Lytechinus pictus: one gene and its partner. Each later gene encodes a partner of the first gene's protein in a complex. Links are inferred from orthologs where the notes say so. Each region holds a gene or a part of one and is shown on either strand. Other genes may lie near its edges.

Region 1 (9,413 bases):
TATAGTATGCCTAGCAATTGAGTCTTGGAACTCTTGCTGGAATGCTCCCAAGGGAGTGGAGAAGGTGCATACATTGTATGCAAGCATGCAAGGATCCGATGACCGAGGTAATTATCTGTAAAGCGCTTAGAGACGTCGTTCTGATGTGTTAAGCGCTCTATAAATGCGGAATATTATTATTATTATTACATAAATGAGCAAATAAATGCTTACCTTTTGTATAACAGACACAATCAATATCCTTTGGGGTTAGTTTAGCTTCGTCTAAAGCCCTAAAATAAAATAAAAATAACAGAAAATATAATGACAATTCAACAATCAATAATTTCTTCTTAGAATGAAAATTTTTGCTCACTTTAATTCTAGGTGATATTCACAAACTTACATACAGATTTTATTATTTTTTTCCTAAAAAAATAAACCAAAAAAATGGGGGACATACAGGGGTGCAAAATGCTTTTACTCTTTCATCTTAAAAGGAATTTGAACATTTACTCATGGTCATGGAGTTTGCTAATATATGAAGACAGAATTGATAATAATAAATACAGAGGCAATCAAATTTTGTCTGTCACAAATATTTTTATTCCTTTTTTGAATACCCCAATAAGTGATAATTACCTTCTCAAAATAGACATGATATGCTGTTGATGGTGCCTGGCAGTATCTCGAGGTTGGAAACCTGAAAAGAAAATGGAAATAAAAATGAGAGTGTAAATTCATTAGTAATTATGAACATAATTTCATGTTATAAAATATAGTACTGTATATCTTATTGTTTTACTGGTTCATAATGTAGAATTTATTTTGTTTTTTTTACCAGCTAAATAAGGAGAGCTTTTACATTTTACAGAAACTCAACTTCTTTTTGTAATATCCACAGGCATTCATTTCTTTGTGTACTTAAATCGTTAAAACAATAACTTTTCGGTCAGCAGAAATCTGCTGAAATTTTGATCATACTATATGAAATTTAATGATATCACCAAGGAAATCTTTTATCGTTGCAAAAATCAAGGGCTTTATGAAAAAGGTTTGTGATTTGGGACCTGTAACATTGGTTAGTGATCTGAGGACATCCTTGGTTTGATTTGTGTACTTGTTTTAAAATGTGAAATTTGTGTGTGCATCCTCGGTTGGCAATGTGGCTAAGCACACCCACACACACACATACATTGTAAGCAATCATCCATAAGAAATGTCTTAGTGGGGTGTTGCAAGAAAATATTTGCAATCAATTGCAAATATTCTTTTGCAATTCTAAAACTGACAGATCAATTTTAACTGTAGCAAATCAGATTACACTCCTTGTTTCAAGAAAAGCAGATTACCAATCAATTGCAAATTCGCAATTAATTTCAAGACCTATGACTGACTTAGGGAATGAAAATAGACTGGCAATTGATTGCAAGTTAAAGCATATCACTGAATAAAGAGGTTTGTTTACCTTCACCAGGTGGAGTGATATAGGTGTGTCTGGGATTAGATAAGACTTCTCCATCTTTGACGATTCCTATACCAAGCTTGTTAGCACTGCCTTCAAAACCTATCACAGTAGGCATTGTCGGATATTATACTAATCTGAAATAGATTGAAAAAGAAGGCAAAGAAAACCACTAATTATTTATATATCATGTTGTCTAATTGAATTCTTGTAACCTTCAGATAGCAATGCTATTTGACTGCAAGAAAGAAAATTAAGTCTAATTCATAAATCACTCGTTAAGCCTCTGTGTAAATCTCAATTCTCAATAACAGATAAAATAATAAGAGAAAAAATAAAAGATTGACTATATATCAAACTTTGAACAGAGGTCCAGTATTAAAAAAAAAAGGTCAATAGACAGTTAAGCTGTATTGCATATTTATACTTGATCATCGATATCAGCATGTGTCATAGAAGTTAAGATCCATTATGGGTTAAGGACTATGATAAATGGATTCAAGCAATAAAGTTGACAGCTCTACACAAATTTGGCAAAGTGTCTAGTACAGTGTTTTTGTGATCACATGTTCCAAACAGCAACGCCAATGGCAAATGCTTTTAAATTAGACTAAAACAAAAAATCGACTTGGCGATATATGTAATTGAAAGGAAAACTTCAAAATTGGTGGTCAAGCGCACATAGGCATAGCAAATTATGTCAACTGCGATAAATGCATCCAACGACAATACTCATTAGTGCAAGTGGATGAGTGGATTATGATTCGGGGTAAAAACAAAACAATACACAGACAGGAATACAATAGATATTTTTAAACCGAAAGATTTAATCTGTGAATGTGACGACTTTCACTCCTTTCTGAGTTTAGGGATGGAAAGATGAATGAATTATATTCCTTGTCTCGTCTTTCCATTAATGCCGAAATGCCCACAATCATCTATTATCTTGTGGCAACTGAACTTGAATTTAACTGATCATGCTCATTCCGAAGATCAGGCAGTAAGTTGTGATTTTGATGTTCAGTTTACTCCATTTTTCCTTTTCCAACTTCAAAGGAGATCGGAGAGATAGGGGCCTACATGGATTATTTCTTCCAGGAATTCATTCTGTCAGGTAGATTTAAAATAATTTTGCACCTAGCCCTAAATATCAAAACAATTGAACAATCGATCGTGCATTCATCACGACTGTTACTTTAGTTTAGTGTTAAATGAGTTTTGTAACTTTTGTTCACGACTTTTCCTCCATTTTATTTCCCTTTTCTTCCCTATCATCATGGTCCTGGACCACTAGGACTAGGTCCATGCTATAATTAAATCATAATATTGCCAGCAGCACCTCAAAGCAATCCTAAAAACACCTTCCAAATGATTCGAGTCGAAATGTCCTATTCTTCTTGTCTTGACTCTAATCAATAAATTAGTGTGTCTATTATTACGTTACTCGTTAGTTCTCTCTCACTGACATCATCTGAATGATGTGGGACTGAGCCTGAGCTGAGGTAAAAACTACTAACTTTTTACAAATATTCAAATTGAAGTCGGCATAAAGATAAAGGCTGGCAAAATTTGATGAAAATGAATAAAATTTCCATATTTAGCCCATATTTTTAATAAATGGCTTCAAATCATGCATTCCAGATGTTTTCATTGCCTACTCACTCACTATGTCACGGAAAATTAACAAAATTTTCGGTAGAACTAGAACAGGTACCGGTACAGCAGCATGCAGGGAAAGGTAGAAAACACACTCACAGTGTCGCCGAAGCGTCCAATAAAAAAATACAAAAACAAAGAAAAGAAAAGAATCGGTGGATAATTAATTCAGTATGAAGACTGAAGATGTGAACGGATCATGAACGTTTGTCAGTAATTTTCAAGGACCATTTTGCCCTTAGGCTTAGCCAATCATATGCAAGGTTAATTAAATGTTTTGTTCTGATATGGAATCCTATAAAGGGCAAACAAAATATGCGAAAGCATTATATTATGATGAGAAAGTGGCCTTCTGTTCCTAGAGCATGATAAATCTTAGAAACATTTTTACTAGGCCTATATCCTTTTGGCGAAAGCAAGCCTCTACTTGCTTTAGCTGCATTTTATGAAAAAAAAATTAACGGATTCCCCCCCCCCCTCAATTTTGGTCCTTTTGACAACAAACCTTATTTAGGCCCATCTAGCGTTCATTGGAATTGACCATGTTAAAGCTCCTCGAACTATTTTTTCGAATTTTAAATTGGCCCAGCAAATCCAAATTCAATACTTTTAGCCCCATTTCTAATTTGTATAATTTAGTACATGGATCCCTAGAATAATTCAATTTTTAAAAGTATCCCTCTGTCAAAAAATGAGGGACAAACTAAAATATTGATAATTATCAAACAAGTAATCTCCCTGTTTTCAAAATTGTGGATAAAATCAAATATGCGACAATTATACCTTCTTAGCAGATAATGGCTTTCTAACTTTTTTTTGCTTTAGGGAAAAACTTAGTACAGTTCATACGTTCTGATATTTCATGCTATTGACAAAATCATCTCACATGGTTTGTGTATATCAGTTTTTTTTTGTTTCCCAATTATTTGACACTATGGTAAAAGTTTCAGGAATAGGCCTCTCTGAAAGAAACAATTTGTTTTCCTCAACAAACATTCATCTTATACTTATCATTGTCATGATTGTACTACAGGTACTTTGGGACCCCTCATGCAGGCTGTATTGTATTTCATTCAATATTTCCTTCGGCAATATTTTAAATTATTTTTCTGCTATTTTGACAATAGACTTTTTATCAGGGTGAACTTCCCCTTTAAAGGGCTACTCCGGGTTGAAAATGTTTATATCTGTATAAATAGAGTAAAATTCACAGATTGAGTAAAATGCTGAAAATTTCATCTAAATCGGATAACAAATAACAAAGTTATTGAATTTTAACTAAAGTTAAGCAATATTCTGTGAAAACAGTTACATTCACTTCGTAATGAATATTAATCTGGTATATTAGGCTTATTATGATGTCGCATCCCCACTTTTCTTTTTCGTATGTTATTACGTGAAATCATAATTGGGTCATTTTTCATACATGTGTAAATGATATGTCTCCCTTGTAATGAATGCACTTAATCAGTTATCAATCCATTTTTTTTTAGTTCTAGGTAGAAAATATTTGAATAAACTTAATTTTATATAATAAAATACAAAAGAACAAGTAGGGTTACAGGGGCGGATCCAGCCTCCGCCAATAGGGGGGGCCCGAAAAAATTTTCACCCATATTTTCCCCGGTCGGCTGCTCAAAGTTGATTTTTGGTTGTTTCTTTGAAGGGGTTGTCCCAGTGGCGTAATGAGCCAAAAACAATTGAGGGGGCTTGATATGGCGTTTCGCGTAACATTAATAAGAAATTACGAGCGAGCGAAGCGAGCGAGCAAAAATTTTGACATATTTATTACAAAAATCCAAGTTTGTGATAGATTTTGACATAATACTTGAAAAATAATATTATATTTCACCCTTATCCCTTTCCTTTTTTCTTGGTCGTGATTTTTTTTTTTTTTTTTTTTTTTTGGGGGGGGGGGACATAAACGCCCATGTCCTAGCAAAAATGTCACTGCTTTATTCTTACAAACAACATAAATGTGTAATAATTTCATATAAGCCCTATTTAAATAGTGTGAGCGCGACGTGCGAGCTAAACAGTTTTGAAATTGCATGTATTTTGTCCTGAAAATTGAACATTCTGGGCAATGTTTGTGAACCTGAACAAGATGAGTATGTAACTAGATAATTACTGCGAGCGCGAAGCGAGAGCAGAAATTTTTATAATGCGTTCTGGTCTTGTCGAATAGGGACCTGTTAAGAACGTTTTGCAGTTAGCCATTAAGACGATACATATTTCAATGATTAAATAATGAAAGCGCGAAGCGCGAGCTGACAATTATTTGACGTTCCGTCCTAAAAAATTAACGTTCTATGCACTTTTTGTAATCATGAACAGTATACCAAACAATTGATGCGAGCGCGCACAGCGCGAGCAGCAAAAAAATGAGATTTCAAACCTAAAAACGGGACACTCTCTTCATGTTTTGTAAATCATTAAAAAATTGGGTATAATTTGGTATCTTCCTACATTAATAATGCGAGCGCAAAGCGTGAGCAAATTTTTTTTTATATTCTGATCTGAAACTGGCTATATAGGCTCATAATGATTTAAATAGAGAACAAGCTGCGTATCTGAATAAACATGCGTGCGCGTCATTCAGATTTTGAGCTAGAATCTGGGCATTCTAAATACCTTTTTTCATCATGAAAATCAATAAAGCGAGCGCGAAGCGCGAGCTTAAAATGTTTGATATTCCGATCTGAAAAAAGGTCAATTTAAGCTCTGTATTTCAAGTACTTTGTAGGAAAATTGTGAGGTGGATATGAATCATAGTTGAAAAAAAAATTACTTTGAGTTTTGACATAGGAAAGGGCCATTCTCAGAACATTATGTCATCATATGAAAATGATGACTATCTTCCTATTTCTTTTCCTCAGCGGGAGATGAAACTTGTCGATATTCCATTCTAAAAAGGGTCAATTTGATTATTGAATTAATATCTTATTTATTAATCTAATAAGCCTAATGGGAGCGAGAAATCTGTTAATTCATTATGGCCTGTAAACTGGACATTTAAAGCACTTTTGTAATTATGAATAAGATGCATGAGTTTAAATATTTTCAACAATCAATGCGAGCGCAAATTTCGAGCCGAAATATTTGATAAACTGTCATGAAATGGGGATTTTAAGTAGCTTATTTTAGAATTAATATTGAAATATACATATCAAATCACCAATCAAAATGCGAGCGTGCAGTGCTAGCTGTTACGTTTTGACATTTTGACATAAATAGGGATATTAGAGAACTTTATGGAATACAGGAAAATAATTGGTACCTGACAAATCAAATTTAGAAAATGTAAATATTCAGAAGACAAACCATAACTCTTTACAGAGCACTTTTAAAAAATAAATTTTTAAATCAAACAAAATAATGAAAGTTCGATTTCCGAGCTGAAATATTTATATTGATTTCAAATTTTGATACTTAAGCTCCGCATGAAGCAAGATATTTAAATTACCTAAAAGTCAATGCGAGCGCGAAGCGCGAGCGAAAATTTTATACTGTATAGTGACATGAAATATTTTCAAAATTATTTCCCAAGTCTTCCCCTCATCTTATTTTATTCACTCGTCTTCCTCCTTTTATGTTTCCCCTTCTTCTTTTTCTCCTCTCTTTTCCCTTTTTTTTAATTTTTTTATTTCTTCCCCCTTTTTTATTTTTTTGCTCCGCCAATGGGGGGGGGGGGGGGGGGGGCGGGCCCCTCGGGCCCCCCTGAATCCGCCTATGGGGTTATGACATCATCACTCAGTTTGCTCATTGGATGTTCTTGAAGACATGCCTATAGAACTGTTTCACCGGAATAATGCAAATCTTTAAAATGCCATATAGCCCCGCATATAGCTTTGTTATTCTTTTCTGATTTTGATCAAATTTTCACTGTTTTGTTTGTCTGATTTTTTTTGTATGTTCAAATCATATACAGCATGGAGCATCCCTTTAATCTATTAATGTGCCATAAGTGTGTAATGTGTAATATGTGTAATAAGTATAGGCACTGATATCTATTCGTTGCACACTCTTTCTTTGTTTTTCTCTCGTTCTGTTTTCTTTTCTTCCTCCTATTATTTCTTTCTTTCTTTCTTTTTTATGCTCTTTCTCTTGATATTTTCTTTTTCTCTTTGCTTTTTTCAATTCAATTCATTTCATTTCCATTCAAATGTAATATAAATCGGACCATTTGTTTTGTTGTACACTCTGAGGCCTCCGTCAATTTCAAGCTCTAAGCTTATGATGGAGGTCTCCCACATTTCAAAATGTATTATGTCGATATAATATATATTTTTCTGCTATTTGTCTTAATGATTAGAAAAAAATCTTAGGTAATATTATATTTTAATTAGATCGTTAGAATAAGTATGTATATTTTATTCATTATGTCATTTGCTTATTGTTATGTTATGCTGAGAAAAAATGATTACACTTGTATACTTTTTGTTATTGGAATGTGAAAAAAAATAAATCAAATCAAATCAAATCAAATATGCTCCCTAATTTACCGGAAGGGTAATTACCCATTCGGCGTCACGACGTGGTCGTTTTGTCCCTACAAGATTTTTATGTTTAAAGGTCAAGTCCACCCCAGAAAAATGTTGATTTGAATAAATAGAGAAAAATCAAACTAGCATAACGCTGAAAAGTTCATCAAAATCGGATGTCCAATAAGAAAGTTATGATATTTTAAAGTTTTGCTTATTTTTCACAAAACAGTGATATGCACAACTCAGTGACATGTAAATGAGATAGTTCATGATGTCCCTCACTCACTATTTCTTTTGTTTTTTATTGTGTAAATCATACAAAATTCAATACAAAATTCACTTTTGTACAGATTTGACAATAAGGATCAACTTGACTGAACCATATAGCATAAAGCTAGTTCCACATGTTCAGGGAGGAATTGATAGTTGTTTCACTTGACAATGAGGAGAAAATTAGAATATTTCATATTTCATATATTAAAGTACATAAGAAATAGTGAGTGGATGACGTCAGCAGTCTCTTCACTTGCATACCGACCAGGATATAACTTTTTTGTGAAATTACGCGAAACTTTAAACTGTCATAACTTTCTTATTTTACATCCGACTTTGATGAAATTTTCAGTGTTTAGCTTGTTGGATTTTTCTCTTTTTATTCAAATCAACTATTTGTTGGGGTGGACTTAATTGTAAGTTAACTAAGTTTCACAGAGGGGGATGCACGGCCGTTTGGGCACGGCCTCTTTCTTTGACTCTCGATGTTAAATAAACATTTGAAAGGTTGGAGGTGATGTGACAACATTTTCCAGATGTTATTATCCAACCTTGAATTGTTTTGGGTGGTAAATGCAACATTTATGAAAGGTTGTCGATAGCTCCTCCAACCTTTCAAATGATGATTTAACATTTCATTTTTAGAGTGTTGATCTCTTTTTCTCCTTTTCCTTTTCCCTTCCCTTTTCGGGCCCCGAGTGTATATATCCTTATCTTCCATAAACTAGAAAATACTTACGTCACTTTTAGGTCGTCCTGACTCCCGAAAAATCCGACCCGCTTTCAGAGATTAAACCCCAAATATATGTTATATATGTTTAAAACCACATGCAACTAATTGAAATTAATAGTGTGGTACATACAGTTGATTTGGAACGACGGACTTTTCTTCCAACACTGATTGTGTTTCATTGTTTTGGGAGTTGTTTTGATTCAAATGATAATTATAATTGAAAAACATGTTGGTTTGTACTTTTGATGCAGGCTGGTAATATAAAGAAAGAAAATAATCCGATGGTGTAGTACTGATTATTGGGGAAAACCCCGGGAAAGACAAAGCAATTCATACAACCATGGACCTATATAAATATATATACCAATCCGTCCATCCCCTTATCCATCAGCTGGGGAATTCCCCTCTTGTTCAGAAATAAGGGCGTGGCATATCTATGACATGTGCCCATTTTTCTCTTTCAAGTTTTGTGAACGCGGTATCTAAAAGAAAAATAAATTGTTGAAAAATAAATAAACGTACACGATAGTCCTAGACATCAAATTCTTGCACGAGATTACGTCAATTTTTAGTATATATACTCTATGATATAATTTCGTATAAATCAGGTGACCTTTGACATGCGAGAAAAAGAAAGCAGCTGCGCCGTTTTTGTACCACCTAGTACCTGACCTCTTCAAAAAGAATCCGTCACGTATTAATGTTCGTTATGCTGATTATTTGTTGGTGAAAACACTTGTGAGAGCTTAGGTACAAGGTGATCATTCAAATGATGCTAATGTTATATCTGATGACAATTTTGTAATGATGGAATCAAGGA
Region 2 (9,066 bases), on another chromosome or scaffold:
ATTCCCCCAAATATTAAATCCTTGATCTCCCTGTGATTATTTTCAGAATTAAGCCCCGAGTTCAATTTTTCATGTGTGTTTTTTTTTTTTTTGGGGGGGGCAAACTGGAGGATTCTGGGCAATTACACAGATTTGTCTTCTTCAGGTCAATGAATATCACAAAGGAATGTTTTTATGTGCAAATACCTTCTTGATCATGATTTCATCTGTATGCATGGAGAGTTGAGATAGAGGAACACAAACTCCTTCAATCTTTGCAGCAATTGACTTCAGGTTGGTTTGATCAGGATCATTTAAAACAACCACTGCCACTGATGTGTCAGTTGATCCCATTGCAAAAACCTTGAAGGATTCACTGATCTGTAAACAATTAAGAGATCAATAAATATACTTGAATGATATGACAGTAGATCTTATTTGCAAATACTTAAGCGATATGTATAAGAATATTCAAGAATATTCTGCTTCTTACATAGCAGTAAATACTGTCCAAGTTTTAAATAATGTAGGCACTAACTTACATGATTATGTACTATCACCTTTTGCTATTGATGATTCATTAGGAGCAAAACCTAGCACTGATATGTCCCCATTGCAAAATTCTTGAAAGATAGATTCCTGAATGACATTTTAATTCTATATCCTTTGTAAGAAATATGCCTATCAACAAAGCAAAGTATGCAAACAAATTAATCAACTACGTTATTTTGTATTAATGTGTATACCATATTACTTTCAAACAAATTTAGCATTATTGGTGTAGTTTACTAACCCATTAGAAAAGCCTATTATATATATACGCCAATATCCAGTTAGAAGCCCCATAAAAGGAAGAAAATAAAAAAAATAAAAACATAACTAAATATGTTCTCTTCTACAATATTTTTTCATAATAATAAATAATTGATAAATAATGAATAGATGGAATAAATAACTTAGTAAATAAATTAATTACTTAAATAAATATATAATTATAAGCAATACTAGTAAACAATTTTAAATAAGTGAAATAGAGCAAATTAAAGTTGAAATCATTCTTTGAAAGAAAAAAAACCCAAAAGCTTACATTTGTGGATGGAGACAGGCTATAGATGATTTCAGAATTAACAGTCCTGGTTTTTGCATGGCCAGTGGCATGTGCATGGAGTGCCTTATTCACTGCTACCATTATCTGAAATGGGCTGACCAGCTGCATCAAGGGAGAAAAATACACTTTATGAATGTACATATATTTCATATCATTATTTAGATGCAGGGTTTTAGAGGCACAGATATTTTTTGACGTCTTGCGATGTTGTTTCAAAGAGACAAAATATTTTAAAACTGATTTTTAACGTGTATGCCTATGAAAACCATTCAATATTTTCCATATTGGATGAATGAATATTTTGCCCCGCCTACGAGATTATCATTGGTTAATAACCGATTGTGCGCATAAAGCTATTGTTACGTCACAATGATATTGCATTGCGCATTAGTTGCCAGGTGTGGCAAAGGAGCAAGATTGCGTCAATTTATTTAATTCAAATGCACTTGCACTATACGCTAGCGCATCTTTACACATATTTCTTTTAAGAAAATGACAATACTCTTTACAGTCGCCATGCTCATGATTTACAGGATTGACATCAAATGCTGAGTAACAACTTTTTTTTTTGCTTCATTAATTTATGCTTAGCTTTGTTGGGGTATCTAAATAATTATAATATTGGATGACCAATTTCCGTGGGATGCATAGAAATATTGTTACTTGCTGAAGAACAATATTTCTACACATCCCACTCAAGGCCATCCTCATCACTGATCTAAATAATCCCTCCCTAGGGAGAGATGGGTTGTGGATGGAGATAGGTGTATACACTGCCATCACACTTGACAAAGATTGGTTCTAATCACTGGTACAGGTTTTAAATAGAGATCGGCTTTGGACTGAGTGGAATTTTCGTCTTGAACTCCAATGTGTGATGTTCACCTAGGAAATGCAATCCTCTTTGACTTACATGTATACTTCATTATAGAATTCTAATCATACATATACTTCATACTATTTGTATATATTTAAAAAATTATCATGCCCAACTACATGTATGAATCATCTTGCTTTCAGAGACCATTGACCCAAGTGTTAAAAGTATTTTGTTTACATGCTATTATATCTTATTTCAAATTTTCTAATCATGTAATAAAATTCAATACAATCATATTTTACTAAAATTTGGAAATATTTGCAGATAAGTTCACCATTTTACTTTTTCATATTACTTTCTTATGCATAGCTTTACAGACATTTTAATCCAAATTAAACAAGTCACTCTCAATTTCCACCCCGACACTCTGGCCAGATTGATTCAGCTATTTACAATGGTGATCTACAATGTAGGGGGGGTGTAGGGGATTTTAGCCTACCCTCTTGGGCTGCCTAAAAAGGGGAGGGGATCAAACTCTAACACCCCTTTCCCTGCTGACGAGGGTTGTACAAACAGAACAGAGGGGATCTACGTACATGAGGAGGTTATTAGGATGTTACAGCTCATTGTCAATGGGTCAAACAATTTGGTCAAACCCTCATCTTAGCAAAAGTCGAGGGGAGGGGAGGGGAGGGGAGGGGAGGGGAGGGGAGGGGAGGGGAGGGGAGGGGAGGGGAGGGGAGGGGAGGGGAGGGGAGGGGAGGGGAGGGGAGGGGAGGGGAGGGGAGGGGAGGGGAGGGGAGGGGAGGGGAGGGGAGGGGAGGGGAGGGGAGGGGAGGGGAGGGGAGGGGAGGGGAGGGGAGGGGAGGGGAGGGGAGAGGAGAGGAGAGGAGAGGAGAGGAGAGGAGAGGAGAGGAGAGGAGAGGAGAGGAGAGGAGAGGAGAGGAGAGGAGAGGAGAGGAGAGGAGATAAATTATATAAAATGTACCGATACGCATGAACATCATAAAAAAAATGAATTATGAAATTGCATGAAATGGTGACCAGTTTTATTTCATGTATACACATCCTACATAGATTTTGTGATGTAACATAAACTTGAGAATCACTTAATGACTTATCTAACTTAGAATCTAACTTAGATGACATATGTGTTACAACATGTTCCTAATCTTAAGCCTACGATGTCGATGTCATGTCACAAACATTTTTAAAAATTTGTATTAGTCTGTTATGATGAACCTTCACCAATTTTCTGTTTTTAGTTCTACTCTACTACCGGTACAAACTCATTGACATTGTCATCATGCATTCATGGTCATGATTTTCAATGTCAAGATGAACTTCCTTTTTCAAGATTGATGTTAACAACAACAACATTAACACAGAAATACGGGGAACTCCCGCCCGGCTTCAGATAGCCATATCTAGCCTATAGTCTATACCAAATGCTTAAATATTATTAAGCTATTTAGTATAGCCGAGCGGTAGCTTAGCTAGCTTGCCGGCGCGGCCTGGCCGCCGTTGTCGATCGCATTTGCATCGGGAACGAGCGGGCAGCACCACCAGCACCTACCGGTACACACGTGCACAAGCTGCATGCGTGCTTTAAAGAAAAATGGCTTCTCACCTGACAAAACTGATCCGCTACGCCGGTGTGTTCACTGGTATAAATTCTAAGATTTTGACTACCAGGCAGCTGTTGGTACCTGTAGCTCGAACATTTAGCTCTCCTGCAGATGATCTCAAAGTCAGCTATTTGGATGATGGAGGTGTGTTTTACTATTAAGTGAGGCTAGTGGCGTGTCTGCTGCTGCCGACTGTATTGTAACCATGCTACCGGCTGGCCGACCTTTCCACCGTACCCGGCCGGCCGGCTGGCCTGGGCCCCGAATCATAGCCGTCGCTCACGCGCCGGGTTCGGACTTTGTGTGTGACTAGCCGGCTTGTGAATGATGGAGTCGATTGTGACTGGAGTGTGGGTGGGGCATGGCCATGGTCATATATGGGTGAATGCAATGCAATGCAGTGCAGTGGCATACAGGGCGGGGGGGGGGGGGGTATTCATAACTTTCCTCGTAAGTCCTCCCAAATAATGGAGCGCTAATCATGCTAATTGACCAAATTCGTATTCTGAATCTAAAATTACAGTCTACTACTACTAGTAGTAGTACTACTACTGTCTGAGATGAGGGGGAGCGATCACATCTGACTGTAGTATACTGTATGTACCGGTTCATGTTAACCTATTAGTATTAGAAGGGATACCTAGGCCTAGGGAAGTTTCTGAATGTAGGCATGTTATGCCTCTGTATTCAGTTCTAGGTTTTTCCTCCTCAAGATGGCTGGCTCACTTCCGGGAACAAGGCTTTCGTAGTCATATTTTATTGGCTCATTTTTCCAGGGCAGGGCAGCTTCAAAACTGTGCACACTTGGGGCAGTGACAACTTCATTATTTAGGCTATTCCATGTCTTACGTATTCTAACATAAAAAGAATTCCTATATTTCTGGGTCTTTGTCCTTGGTATGAACAATTGTTTACTGTGACCTCTGGTATGGACACTAACTTCTTCTTCCGTTGAGTACAGTCCTCTTTACAGAGCTATAGTAGTACTAACGTTAGTAGTAGGACACTCGCACGTATTGCGAGGTTAGTATTAGTATACTAACCTCGCACCACGAACCGCGTTTGGCAGTGGATTTCTAACTAGTGGGTCGCGTGTGCTGGGATCTCACTTCTAGGGTCCACAACCAGTAGAGGCGCACGGCCAATATGGGAGACTCTCTCCAATAGGGGAGACAATCTCCCACATTGGAGACTTGCTTTGCAAAAGGACAAAAGAAACAACACCAACAAAAGCATGATTTTTTCCACCCAAAATTTTGTCTCACTGAGGTCAGAAGCCCATTTGTTTTGTGTGTGATTGACAACAAAAATCCTTATCAAAACAAAAGTAGACGGTGAATTTTTAAAGGAGACGGTGAAAAGGGGTAATTTTTCATGAGGAATCTGCTTATCACATTTTTATTTGCCGCCAAGGTAATCCTTTTGCAGCAAATGTAAACAAAGGAAATTGGTCTCCAAAACTGGAGACTGTCTCTGAAATTGGATACCCAAATTCTTTACAAAAGTCTCTGATATTGGAGATATCTCCCACATTGGAGACAGTCTCCAATATTGGCCGTGCGCCTCTACTGACAACACACGACTTCTATGGCTTGATTTTTCTGTGCGCGGCGGCATGTAATGAACCCTTGGGTGGTAGTAGGACAGTGTTTCCAGACCACAGATCTAACAACAGTTAAAACAAATTTCCCGAAACTAAATCCCAAATTTCCTGAAATTCATAGACATTTCCTGGAATTTTCAAGTTAGATTTTTAACAAAAATTATTTTAAAAATCTGGCAATAATACAGCACGCCTAAAGTTGGTCCAAGTGACCAAAATTAATCAAAGAATCTAACTTTAATTAGGGTCTACGTGCGGGGGGGGGCACTTCCATTGACAAGTGGATATCAGGCACGACCATGGGGTTTCGAAAAGTACTCTAAAGGGCCGTCTGCACCATCCCGAGTTTTCAAATTAGCGCGCTATTTCTGATCCGGCAAATTATCCCGATCTGAAAAATCTCGAGATTGTTTGCAGTGGAGACGCAATTATCGCGCTAGTTCGTAGGATTAATCTCGAGATTGCAATCCCAAGTCAACTCGGGTTTATTTGCAAAATAGCGCGCTATTTTACGAATTATCCCGCTAATTCGAAGGTGCAGACGCACTCGAGATTGGACTCGGGGTAATTTATTCATGACGTCAGTCCATAATGCAATTCGCGTTCCACTTCCGCCTTGGTCAAAACAAAAACACGTGCGAAAGTCTATTTTATACACGCGAATAGACATTATCGCGAATAGCGTTCATCAATTCCCCAATCAGCAACGATGGTGTCCCAACAGTGAATGGATTTTGGGAGAGACCAGACCTATGGATATGGGGGAGGCGCTCATTTATCGACGATGTTCATAGTCGATAACAACACTGACAGCAGTGTCGTCTTAATGGCCTTTGCAAAATGTGAGCAAATAGCATTCTTTCCTCCTCCTTTTCTCTCTCCCTCTCTCTCTCTGTCGTTGCCTCCTTCTCCGCCATCATATTAAACGAAGAATACATCACTTCTTCACTCGCTGAGCGCGGCTGACGGAGCTGAGAGGATTGTTGCATAACACTTGTCGAATTCGGCGAAAGTGCTAGAGAAAGGAGTAGCCTACATGTATTTGATTGCATATCGCGGGAAGTTATTCAAAAGCGCGGGCCGTTGAAACTCCAAGATCCGAAAGTGCGCATGCTCGGAATATTGGGCTTGTTGCCTCGCTCGAGCAGGAATCGCTCTTCTTGCGATGGTGGAGACGGGGTTTCTTGAATCTCGAGATTAATCGCGAAGAGGGCCGATCGGGCTAAAATCTCGAGATTGAGCAAACTCGGGATGGTGCAGCACCGCCTTAAATGAGTAATTAATTTGAAAATGCACTTAATTATTAGGCTTGTATTAGAAAAAAAAGTTACCCTTGATCCCTAAAGTGTACACCTCAACAAGTAGATTTAGGTCTACAGCGATATTTAAATTGTTATGTCACAGACGTCAGCATTTTCCTTTATTTACATAAGTTATATTGGGTTTGGTACCGCTCCACCTCGCTCAAATCGGACACGACAAAGTGTTGGGGCGAAAAGTAGGCCGGCCTACATATATAAATTCCCTCCCAAATTTGACCGTAAACATGTAGCTTTCCTAGCGAAGTATATACCCTTTTTTCAGTATTTTAGTGTTTTTGACACCCTTATTACGTACGTAACGTGCCCAGTCTTGAAAAAGAGATCCTTTTGATGCACTTCTTTGGTCGTGCCTGGTATATATATCCACTCTACAATGGAAGTGGCCTCCACCCCCCCCCCCCCCCCCCGGGTCTACATCTCGAATACTAACTTGTTAGATCTATCTAGATTAAATCTATCTATCGCCATGTTAAATTCGTAAGAACTAGAAGTATTCTATCAGTTTTCATTTCTAGAAACACTTTTTTTTTAAAATAAAAATGACTTATCGCGAAACTTAGTATTACCTCATTAAAAATCATTGTATATAACTTATGATCGTATACTTTGAGGTCCATATTAACAATAATCCATTTTATTACAGAGTCAGAGATCATCTTGTTGCTTGTATAGATCTATCTAGAATATATATTCCTGAAAAAATATGAATAAAAATACTTGAGCACCTTATAATATTCACAAGATCCGACTTCCAGGTTATATTTTCTCTCATCGCTAATTGTTGTCACAATTTTTTTTACTTGAATTATAACATAATACCTATGTGCTGCGCCAAAGTCGAAAATATGGGGCTTTGGAACTAAATCTTGGTCTAAAAACGGGGGTCTCCTGAACGGCTCTTGGATCAACGATTGCTAAAAATGCAATTCTCTGGAACTGACCACATAACATAAAGAAGGGGGGGTCTCCAGAATTCTTTTGATCGTAGGTGTAATTGATAACGTCTATGTAAAAAAATGTGCGAGCGTCTTGCTAGATTCATGTCGGGCTAGAACAAGCTAGCTGCGGGCGTGCGGGGAGCTTCGGGAGCCCGCCGCTATGGCTCTGCACCGATCGAGCTTGCCGCTCCGACAGGCTCAATAGATTTCATGAAGGGCGTGCATTGAAATGAGAAATCACAAATTTGAGGGTCTCCGGAGCGGGAAAAAATAGGAATATCTGTGGCTTTCTGAATTGATGCTCTAGACCAGAAATTTAGGCTGAAAATGGGGGTTTCAATCGTAGCACATAGATATACATTTATACTAAGTACGCCCCCCCCCCTCGGATATTTGCCAAACCCTTATACTAAGAAAGTATTAAATTTTTTTGGGAAAATTGAAGAATATTTTTTCTACTTTCCATTTGGCCTGTATGACCAATAATTTTTTTTTTCTAATTTCAAACCTCTAGGTAGGCTATACCCATTTTGTCTTCTTGGTCTTTAAAGGACAAGTCCACCCAAACAAAAAGTTGATTTGAATAAAAAGAGAAAAATCCAATTAGCATAACACTGAAAATTTCATCAAAATCGGATGTAAAATAAGAAAGTTATGACATTTTAAAGTTTTGCTTAATTTCACAAAACAGTTATATGCACATCCTGGTGGGTATGCAAATGAGACTGATGACGTCATCCACTCACTATTTCTTTTATATTTTATCATATGAAATACGGAATATTCTATTTTTCTCCTCATTGTCAAGTGAAACAAAGATTAATTCCTCCCTGAACATGTGGAATGAGCATTGTTTTATACTATATGATTCAGTCAAGCTGGTCCTTATTGTCAAATCTATAAAAAATGAAATATATAATTCAAACAATAAAAAACAAAAGAAATAGTGAGTGAGGGACATCATCGACTGTCTCATTTGAGTTGTGCATATCACTGGTTTGTGAAAAATAAGCAAAACTTTAAAATGTCATAACTTTCTTATTTTACATCCGATTTCGATGAAATTTTCAGTGTTTTGCTCGTTTGATTTTTCTCTATTTATTCAAATCAGCATTTTTCTTGGGTGGACTTGACCTTTAAACCAGGGTTGTTTGATTTAAATCATGTCGATTTAAATCATGATTTAAATCGCGATTTAAATCACTTGATTTTTTTTCAAAAAAATCACTGATTTAAATTAACTTTTATGAAAAAAATTAGTTTTCTCTATTTTCTCTTCTTCTTAACAGATACTTTCAATGTAATCATTTTCATTTCTGTTCCACATGCTTTAGAGATACTTTAAAAGAATGATACACCCTCATGGAGTCTGATTTGACACCACTGTTTTATTTTCAAATTGTAAAACAAGCAAAACTGATGAAAACAACAAGTTTCTAACGAAGTAATGATAAATAACTCTCTGTATGTACACCAAACTGTTAAATCTTCAATGAAATAATATATAAAATCTACAAAGGTGCTCAAAGTCCACAACTTGGATACTTTTACAAAACAGCTGAACTACTTGTATGTACCTCCTTCTTGTTACTATTAATACCCATGTTTCTTTCAATTACTTAAGTTGAAGGCATATGTGTACATTTGATAAGAATTACATGTATATTT

Evidence for each region.
Region 2: probable tRNA N6-adenosine threonylcarbamoyltransferase (region 1) and EKC/KEOPS complex subunit TPRKB-like share a complex: the UniProt entries of both Homo sapiens proteins name them as parts of the EKC/KEOPS complex. The link is inferred for Lytechinus pictus from reciprocal best matches to the Homo sapiens genes OSGEP and TPRKB.

The regions. Positions count from the first base shown.
Region 1 is NC_087246.1:47,018,451-47,027,863, forward strand, and holds the start of probable tRNA N6-adenosine threonylcarbamoyltransferase, read right to left. Parts: upstream 3,341-9,413; 5' UTR 3,111-3,340; exon of another isoform or gene 2,962-3,110; intron 1,582-2,961; 5' UTR 1,563-1,581; coding exon 1,448-1,562; intron 683-1,447; coding exon 622-682; intron 273-621; coding exon 214-272; intron 1-213. Other genes in the region: VPS9 domain-containing protein 1-like, read left to right, coding at 9,398-9,413. UniProt on the Homo sapiens protein: Component of the EKC/KEOPS complex that is required for the formation of a threonylcarbamoyl group on adenosine at position 37 (t(6)A37) in tRNAs that read codons beginning with adenine.
Region 2 is NC_087247.1:45,963,072-45,972,137, reverse strand, and holds the start of EKC/KEOPS complex subunit TPRKB-like, read right to left. Parts: upstream 3,449-9,066; 5' UTR 3,193-3,448; exon of another isoform or gene 3,175-3,192; intron 1,344-3,174; 5' UTR 1,238-1,343; coding exon 1,067-1,237; intron 361-1,066; coding exon 187-360; intron 1-186. Other genes in the region: methylglutaconyl-CoA hydratase, mitochondrial-like, read left to right, coding at 3,526-3,679. UniProt on the Homo sapiens protein: Component of the EKC/KEOPS complex that is required for the formation of a threonylcarbamoyl group on adenosine at position 37 (t(6)A37) in tRNAs that read codons beginning with adenine.